Linked DNA regions of Canis lupus familiaris. The protein of the gene in region 2 purifies or fractionates together with the protein of the main gene of each other region. This does not show direct contact. Links are inferred from orthologs where the notes say so. Each region holds a gene or a part of one and is shown on either strand. Other genes may lie near its edges.

The links.
Region 1: the proteins of UBQLN4 (region 2) and GJA1 purify together in Homo sapiens (affinity purification with western blotting; 3 studies listed by BioGRID). This does not show direct contact. The link is inferred for Canis lupus familiaris from reciprocal best matches to the Homo sapiens genes UBQLN4 and GJA1.

Annotation. Positions count from the first base shown.
Region 1 is NC_049222.1:61,513,706-61,518,032, forward strand, and holds the start of GJA1 (gap junction alpha-1 protein), read left to right. Parts: upstream 1-1,432; 5' UTR 1,433-1,448; coding exon 1,449-2,597; 3' UTR 2,598-4,109; intron 4,110-4,151; 3' UTR 4,152-4,327. UniProt on the Homo sapiens protein: Gap junction protein that acts as a regulator of bladder capacity. A gap junction consists of a cluster of closely packed pairs of transmembrane channels, the connexons, through which materials of low MW diffuse from one cell to a neighboring cell.
Region 2 is NC_049228.1:41,748,308-41,752,596, forward strand, and holds the start of UBQLN4 (ubiquilin-4), read left to right. Parts: upstream 1-1,223; 5' UTR 1,224-1,277; coding exon 1,278-1,385; intron 1,386-2,797; coding exon 2,798-2,949; intron 2,950-3,313; coding exon 3,314-3,531; intron 3,532-4,108; coding exon 4,109-4,289. Other genes in the region: ragulator complex protein LAMTOR2, read right to left, coding at 1-57, 218-285. UniProt on the Homo sapiens protein: Regulator of protein degradation that mediates the proteasomal targeting of misfolded, mislocalized or accumulated proteins.

The DNA.
Region 1 (4,327 bases), on a different chromosome or scaffold from region 2:
TGATTTTAAAACCAGTGTGTGGTGCATTGGAAGTCCTTAGTCTTGGGATCATTAGTCTTGTAGCTCTACTGGTAGCTGAATATTTCCTATACCTTTAAGAGCTCAACTTTCATCAGTTAAATGAACTATGGGCAATTAGAAGTATAAATTAAATTAGCCAAGTAACTTTTGACATCCATGTCATCTCTACAGAATTGAGTCCATTTCACACTCCCAACAATGGGGAAGTCCTAGGCTTAAGATATCTAGGTATTGATAGAAAGTTAAATCTAGTGTATAGGATGAGGGTGCAAAGCCTGATAAGGGAACTTGAAGGTATATAGTAATTTAAAGATGAAAACCAATCATTTTTGCTAGAGATAACACTTTAAGATGGTAATTTAAAAAAATTTCTTAAGCTATAATTAGTATTGAGACAAATTGAACTTTTACTTGAAATGTGATGCGCAGGAGCACCGGGGTGGCTCAGTGGGTCAGGTCTCCGGCTCGCTCTGGCTCCCATCATGATCTCATGGGTCTTGAGATCGAGCCCCCATGTGGGGCTCTGCACTCAGGAGGGAGTCTTCTCCACCCCCACTCATGCTTATTTGCTCATGCACTCTCTCTCTTTCTCTCTCTAAAATAAAATAAATCTTTAAAAAAATGTGATGTGCATTTAGACTTTGCTTTTTTGAAAGTAGTTTCCTGCACATAATGACACATCGTGTCAAAATGGCGTATTTTAGTACAACATATTTTTCTCTGGGCAGAAGACAGACTTCTGAACCACCTAAGTCACTGCTTAAGAAGAAACAGAGAAGTATAAATGACCCTATTATAAAATATGCACTAATTACACTTGAACGAGCAAGGTGAAACAGTTCAGAGTACAATTAGGGATAAAATTCTATATAATAGGATGGAGGTTTGGAAACAAGGTTGTGTGTGTGTGTGTTTGTGTGTGTGTGTGTGTGTGTTCAGGGGCGTTCTTACTTCAGTTCTTAAACACCTGTACTTTTTGAAAACCGTCCTTTCAGCATTTTGCTTAGGCATGCATCCAGACACAGGCCTACCCGGCAAGAATTGCCCTCATTTATCAGACGGATAAAATAAGCAGAGGCACTTAGCATAGACAGTTTTTCGAGTCACATGGTGGGGCAGTGGTTGAGCAAGTTAACCTGTCCTTTGCAAGTTAAGATTGCCATTTACTGGGGACATCGGCTCTATTGCTTCTAAGATTTACCATATCTCAAGAAAATTGTGAGACTTGTTTGCAGGGGGAAATGGGACAGGAAGAGTTTGAACTTATTTTTTTTTTTTTTTTTAATTTGGAAGAGTGCTAGAAAGATAGGAGACCTTTTATCTTATTTTGACTCTCAACTGGAGACAACTATACATTTTAACTCATACTTTACAGTCTGTGATCATTTAGTTGTCTTTCGTTTCTTTTCAGGTGGTGCCCCGGCAACATGGGTGACTGGAGTGCCTTAGGCAAACTCCTTGACAAGGTTCAAGCCTATTCCACCGCTGGAGGGAAGGTGTGGCTGTCTGTCCTTTTCATTTTCCGAATTCTGCTACTGGGGACAGCGGTTGAGTCGGCCTGGGGTGATGAGCAGTCTGCCTTTCGTTGTAACACTCAACAGCCTGGTTGTGAAAATGTCTGCTATGACAAATCCTTCCCAATCTCTCATGTACGCTTCTGGGTCCTGCAGATCATATTTGTGTCTGTCCCCACACTCTTGTACCTGGCTCATGTGTTCTACGTGATGCGCAAGGAAGAGAAACTGAACAAGAAAGAGGAGGAGCTCAAAGTTGCCCAAACCGATGGTGCCAACGTGGACATGCACTTGAAGCAGATTGAAATAAAGAAGTTCAAGTATGGAATTGAAGAGCACGGCAAGGTGAAAATGCGAGGGGGCCTGCTGCGAACCTACATCATCAGCATCCTGTTCAAGTCTGTTTTCGAGGTGGCCTTCTTGCTGATCCAGTGGTACATCTATGGATTCAGCTTGAGTGCCGTTTACACTTGCAAAAGAGAACCCTGCCCTCATCAGGTAGACTGCTTCCTCTCTCGCCCCACGGAGAAAACCATCTTCATCATCTTCATGCTGGTCGTGTCCTTGGTGTCTCTTGCCTTGAACATCATCGAACTCTTCTATGTCTTCTTCAAGGGTGTTAAGGATCGCGTGAAAGGCAAGAGCGATCCTTACCATGCTACCACTGGCCCACTGAGCCCCTCCAAAGACTGTGGATCTCCGAAATATGCATATTTCAATGGCTGCTCCTCACCCACGGCTCCCCTCTCCCCCATGTCTCCTCCTGGGTACAAGCTGGTTACTGGAGACAGAAATAATTCTTCCTGCCGCAATTACAACAAACAAGCAAGTGAGCAAAACTGGGCTAACTACAGTGCAGAACAAAATCGAATGGGCCAGGCAGGAAGCACCATCTCCAACTCCCATGCACAGCCTTTTGATTTCCCTGATGACAACCAGAATTCTAAAAAACTAGCCGCTGGGCATGAACTGCAGCCACTAGCCATTGTGGACCAGCGGCCTTCCAGCAGAGCCAGCAGCCGTGCCAGCAGCCGACCTCGGCCTGACGACCTGGAGATCTAGATCCAGGCTTGAGAGCATTGATTCCACTCAGTGTGGAGAAGAGAAAAGGTGCTGTAGAAAGCGCACCTTAGGCGTTCATTTTGTTTCAGTGGAGGTGGTACTCAACAGCCTTCATCGTGAGGCTTAGAAAACACAAAGACATTAGAATACCTGGGTTCACTGGGGGTGTTTGGGATAGGCGGGTGGAGAGGGAGGGGAACCGGGAGGTACAAGTTGGTATTTAATGTAGTTTATTCAAAGAACTTTAGTTCTAAATATAAGTTGCATTAGGTGATACATAGGTAAGGGCTTTTTCTCCCCCCCACACACCCTAAGAATAGTGCTGTATATGTGAAAGAGTGGGTGATATATTTGGTTAAGTACTTTTTTGTTTTACCATGAAACTGAGATAACTTTGGCCGGGAAAAAAGAAAAATACTTCCTGGACATCTTGTTTCCTTTTATCAAGAAGAAGTTGGAGGATTGTCCTTATGTCCCTGCTAAAAAACATTCCATTGTTAAAATTTGCACTTTGAAGGTAAGCGTCCTAGGTGGGACCCTCCAGGTGTCTGTGGACTTGTGATACTATATTTTCTATTCTTGGTATCAGTTAAAAGTTCAGATAGGGCCCACAGAAAAAAGACTTTCCATGCATTTTCAAATCTCAGCCAGTCATATGTACATTATTTTTTTTTAACATCTACTTGCATCCTATTAATGCCATCACTTTTTCATCATTCCTCAACAACTGTTCACATTCATTTAATGGTTTCTGTAAAGATTTTTAAAACCGTGGGGATATCACTTAACATTTTTTGAATTAGAGTCAGGGAATCAAGCCATGCTCAATATTTAACAATCACTTCTATGTGTATGTGTGTGGAAGAGTGTGTTTTATTTGTCATGTATTGGTACAAGCAGAGCAGTATAAACTCACAAACACAGATTTGAAAATAATGCACACATAGTGTTCAAATTTGAGCCTTTCTCATGGATTTTGTGGTGTGGGCCAATATGGTGTTTACATTATATAATTCCTGCTGTGCAAGTAAAGCACACTTTTTTTTTCTTTCCCTAAGTGTTTTTTTCCCATGTATCCTATTGTGGATACTGGTTTTGTTAATTATGATTTTTTCCCTTTTTTCTCTTTTTTAGAATATAGCAGTAATGCTATTGCTGAAATGGATGATTTTCTTTTTCTGAAATGTAATCATGGATGCTTGAATGATAGAATTTTAGTACTGTAAACAGGCTTTAGTAATTAATGTGAGACACTTAGAAGAAATGCTTAGAGTGGGCTTTTAAGTGTGCCTAAATGAATTTTGCAGTAACTGGTATTCTTGGTTTTGTCCTACTTAATACACATTAATTCAGAACTTGTATACTGTTAAGAGTTAGATTGTCTTTTGGAATGACCAGCAACTTTGATGTTTGCACTAAGATTTTATTTGGAATGCAAGAGAGGTTGAAAGAGGTTTCAGTAGTACACATGTAACTAATTTATTTGAAATGTACCCTAAAGAAATCTACCATGTAACTAATTTATTTGAAATGTACCCTAAAGAAATCTACCAGTTTCTTCAAATGCCTTTTTAAAACTCATCAGAGATGATTAGTAAAAATGCGGAGTATCATACTTTTCTTCTTGCATGTCAGCTACATAAACAGTTTTGTACAATGAAAAATACTAATTTGTTTGACATTCCATGTTAAACTACTGTCATGTTCAGCTTCATTGCATGTAATGTAGA
Region 2 (4,289 bases):
GCGTCCGTGTCCCCGTAGCCGGAGTAGGCCAGCAGGGACCCCTCATTATTCAGCAGCCTGGCGAGCGGCGGCAAGGGATACAGATGGGCTGGGGGCGGCGACAAAGGCGGCTGCGCTCTCAGCCCGCCTCCCGCCGGGCGCCTCGAGAAAGCGGGGGTCAGGGCAGAGCGCGCCCCCCAGACCCTCCCTCCCCGGGGTCCTCCCCGGTCGCACTCACAGCGTGCTCTGGACACCGCCGGTGTTGGCCTGGCTCAGCACCTGGGTCAGAGCCTTGGGACGCAGCATGCCTGCGGCTCCCAGGTCTGGGCTTCCACGCCAGCCCCTGAGCTGCCTCCCGCGGGCCTCCGCGGGAGCCTCCCCGAACTCCGGAGGTCCCGGCCGGGCTCGGGGGCGGCGACGCAACGCCGCCACGCCATTCCGCCGCGGGGGGCGCCGGGACTTGTAGTTTCATGCGGCCTCGCGGCGCACCCCGGGAAGTGTAGTTCGCCTTTCCAGGGGAACCACGCGGTGGTGGTGGGGGGCGGGAAGAGCGGGAGCGAAAGGACCTGGCAGGACTGGAAGGACGTTTAACACCCCCTACCCCCATCCCGGGGAAAGAAGAGTCAGCATGCCCGCTTTACAATCCCTGACCACTAACTGAAAAAGAAATCCCAGTATTGGTCAGGCACACGTTCGATTACTCTTCAGGGCAGTTTCCTACGCCGTGCACAACCCTGGGGGTCGGGATCGGGGCTCAGAAAGTCCACGCCGGCCGAACCCAGCCCACGCTGGCTCCCTTGGGAGCCGTCCTTAGCCAACCCCGTGCAGGCCACGACCCCTGGGGGGACGGTCGGTCCCAGAGGTGAGACTCTGGGGGGACGTCCAGGCATGAAGGACTCCGGCCCGGGAGCCCCGAGAATGGGGCGGCCACGGGGACTGCGTCAGGTCCGGGAGCCTGAGTCCCCGCGTAGGTGGCGGGCGGGGATGGTGGAGCGCCCACGCTGGAGGCCAGAGGCCCGCCCCGCCCAGAGAGGCCCCGCCCCCGAGAGGTCCCGGCTGCAGTGCCCCCACCAGGCCGCCCGGGGCGCTGTGAGCGCAACTGGTCCGGAGGGCGGCGCGGCCGCGGGAAGGGGAGGGGAGGGGAGGGGAAGGGAGAGGAGGGGAGGGGAGGGGCCGGCAGGGCAGGGGAGGGCGGAGGGGCGGAGGGGCGGAGGCCGGAGCAGAGCCCGCCGGGCGGGCGGCCGAGCGGGGAGGAGGGGCCGGGGCGGGCTGGCGGGCGGCCGGGTGGCGGCGGCGGCATGGCGGAGCCGAGCGGGGACGAGGCCAGGCCCCCCATTCGGGTCACCGTCAAGACCCCCAAGGACAAGGAGGAAATAGTGATCTGCGATCGGGCCTCCGTCAAGGAGGTAGTACGAGCGGCGAGGGTGGCGGAGGAGGGATCTGCGGAGAGGGGTTGGCCCCGAGGCGGGGGGGGCGGGAGGCCGGCGGCGGAGGGGGCGGGGGCCCCGCAGGCTCTCGGAGGGGCGGGGGGGCAGGAGCGGGGCTGGGGGGCCCCCTGGGGGGGCGCTGGCCAACGCGGCGCGTGCGGCGGATGCCAGGCCGGGGCTGGCCTTGTGGCCTGGGCTGGGGGCGTGGCGGAGAGCGGGGAGGGGGCCCCTTGCAGCGGGGAGGGGAGAAACACTGGGGATGCGGGCCGCGTGCGTCCGGGGGCTGGCCGGGGTTCGAGGGGCCGCGGGAGGCGGGGGCGCCCGGGGGCGCCCGGGACTGGGGCGCGGGGTGCTGGGGGAGCGTTTCCCTCCGCCCTGATCCGTCCTACCTTTTCAAATCAAGGCCCTTACAGTTGGCCCTCGCCCCTCCGGAACTTGCTGTGTGCAGTAGGTGCTCAATAAAAGTGTGTTGACCGAGTGAATGAGGGAACACCTCCTGTGTTCGCCACCCCCTGTGGCTGCTCCAGAATTTCACATGGGCGGGGCTTTAGAGAGGCCATCTGGTTGGAAGGCAGGGATCTGGACGCTGCCTTGGCTTAGCAAGTGCACTCTCTTGACAGAGAGTGGCCTGTTTGACGTGTTTGGGCTTGGTTTGAGGGAGAGCTAGTAGATTTGGGGGCCTGCCTCTCCTCAAGCCAAACTTTAGTGCCATCACTGCCCCCCTGGAATGTGAAATGACCACATTCCAGAGTGTGCATCCTCTGCCCTGCAGAGCTCAATTTGGAATCAGCTTTAACCGAGTGGAGAGGCCGAGTGTTGGGTCAGGAGCCAGGGCTTTGGTGTCAGGACCCGAATTCCAGTCTGCCCAGAGTGAGTTACATAACTTCTCTGAGCCTCAGTTTTCTTCGCCTGAAAGTGGAGATAACGACCCATGTGTATCTTATCAGTCTGCGACCCTTCACTTCTGAATGGTCGCTGCTCTTAGCGATGATTGTGGGGTCCGTGTGTTGTCCTTGTTACGAGAAGGCTGGGCCTGGGCAGAGAGACCTGGTGGCTAGAATGGAACGCTGCAGGGGTCAGGGTCTGAGTCCAAGGTTGCTGAAGGAGTTGGGACCAAGAGAGCCACCAGGGCAGTGCTGTCACCACAGGGAGCAGCGGGGAGGGACTGAGGGGAGAGTCACAGGGAAGGCTGGGCCTTCTAGGGTGGGAGACCCTGGGGTTGAGCCCAGGGGAGCCTGTCACTAGTCCATCTCTGGTTAATGAAGGCACAGCTCACTGCAGCTGGATGGATGGAGTCTATACTGCAGAAGGGACTTCCCGAACTAGAGGCAGGGTCCCTGGTGGGTGGGGCCCAGGGAACCTCTGCAGTGACCTCTGCCTCTTGACCACAGTTCAAAGAGGAAATCTCCAGGAGGTTTAAGGCTCAGCAGGATCAGCTGGTCCTGATCTTCGCAGGCAAGATCCTCAAGGACGGGGACACACTGAACCAGCATGGGATCAAGGATGGGCTCACTGTCCATCTGGTCATCAAGACCCCTCAGAAGTAAGTCCAGGAGAGGAGTAGATCCAACTTCTCACTGGGCCTGTTTTCCTCCTCTGGTACTCACATTCTTACCTGTCGCTCACCTACCTGGAGGGCCATGCCAGTGCCCAGGAAGGTGGCCCTTGGACGGCTCCCCTACAGGGGAAAGGAACCTGATGTAGCTCTCCCAGAATGCTGGCAGATGATACTGCCCCCAGCGGCACCCCTGTGGCTGGGGGAGCCCCCTTACCCCCCTACCCCACCACCACCTGGCCCAGGGTTGCTGAGAAGGTGGTGGCATTAGGGCAGTAGCTGCACCAAAAGGAGATCCTTGTTCTCTCCTTCCTGTTCACTTCAGCTTGGACTTTATCTCTCTGTCTCTCAGGGCTCAAGATCCAGCTGCTGCTACTGCTTCTTCCCCCTCCACTCCAGACCCTGCCTCAGCACCCTCCACCACTCCTGCTTCACCTGCTACCCCTGCACAGCCCTCCACCTCTGGCAGCGCCACTTCAGATGCTGGCAGTGGAAGCCGGAGGAGCAGTGGGGGGGGTCCCTCCCCTGGGGCTGGGGAGGGACCCCCCAGTGCTACTGCATCCATACTCTGTAAGCCCTTAGGGAGGAGATCACAGTCCTGTGTGGGGCTTGGGCTTAGGGGAGAGCCAAGAGGAGACAGAAACACGGTCCCTGCTCCTAGTCTGATGGGGATAGGGGACCCCTGGACATGGAGTTCCAGACACTGGTACTTGAGCAAAGCAGAGGAGGGAAAAACTGGTCTATGAGGCCCTCCCAGAGGAAAAGAGCATGGATGAGTGTAAAGGGGGAGGGAGGAAATGGGATTGCGGATGTGGGGAACTCGGGGTGAGGATATGGGTGTGCAGGGACCAGGGGGATCCAGCAGTGACCAGTTGGGGAATATTTATTGCTCGTTCAGCAGGCCACCACGGTCGGTCGCCCTCTCTGTGCACAGTGCTGGGCTTGGCTCTCAGCGTCTGCTGCCAGAGAGGTCTTGGTTGTTGAGGCTCCCATCTCTGCCAGCAGTGGGGCAGGGCTGGGGCCAGGGGAAGGATTGGAAAGGGAGATGTGAGAAGCAGACAAGGCCCATCTGGAGACCTGACCAGTGGCTGTGGCCTGGCGGGGGCAGGGTCTTGTGGCACACTGTGACCCTGGCCCCTCCCTGCAGCTGGCTTTGGGGGCATCTTGGGCCTGGGCAGCCTGGGCCTAGGCTCCGCCAACTTCATGGAGCTGCAGCAGCAGATGCAGAGACAGCTGATGTCCAATCCTGAGATGCTGTCCCAGATCATGGAGAACCCCCTGGTCCAGGACATGATGTCCAACCCCGACCTGATGCGCCATATGATCAT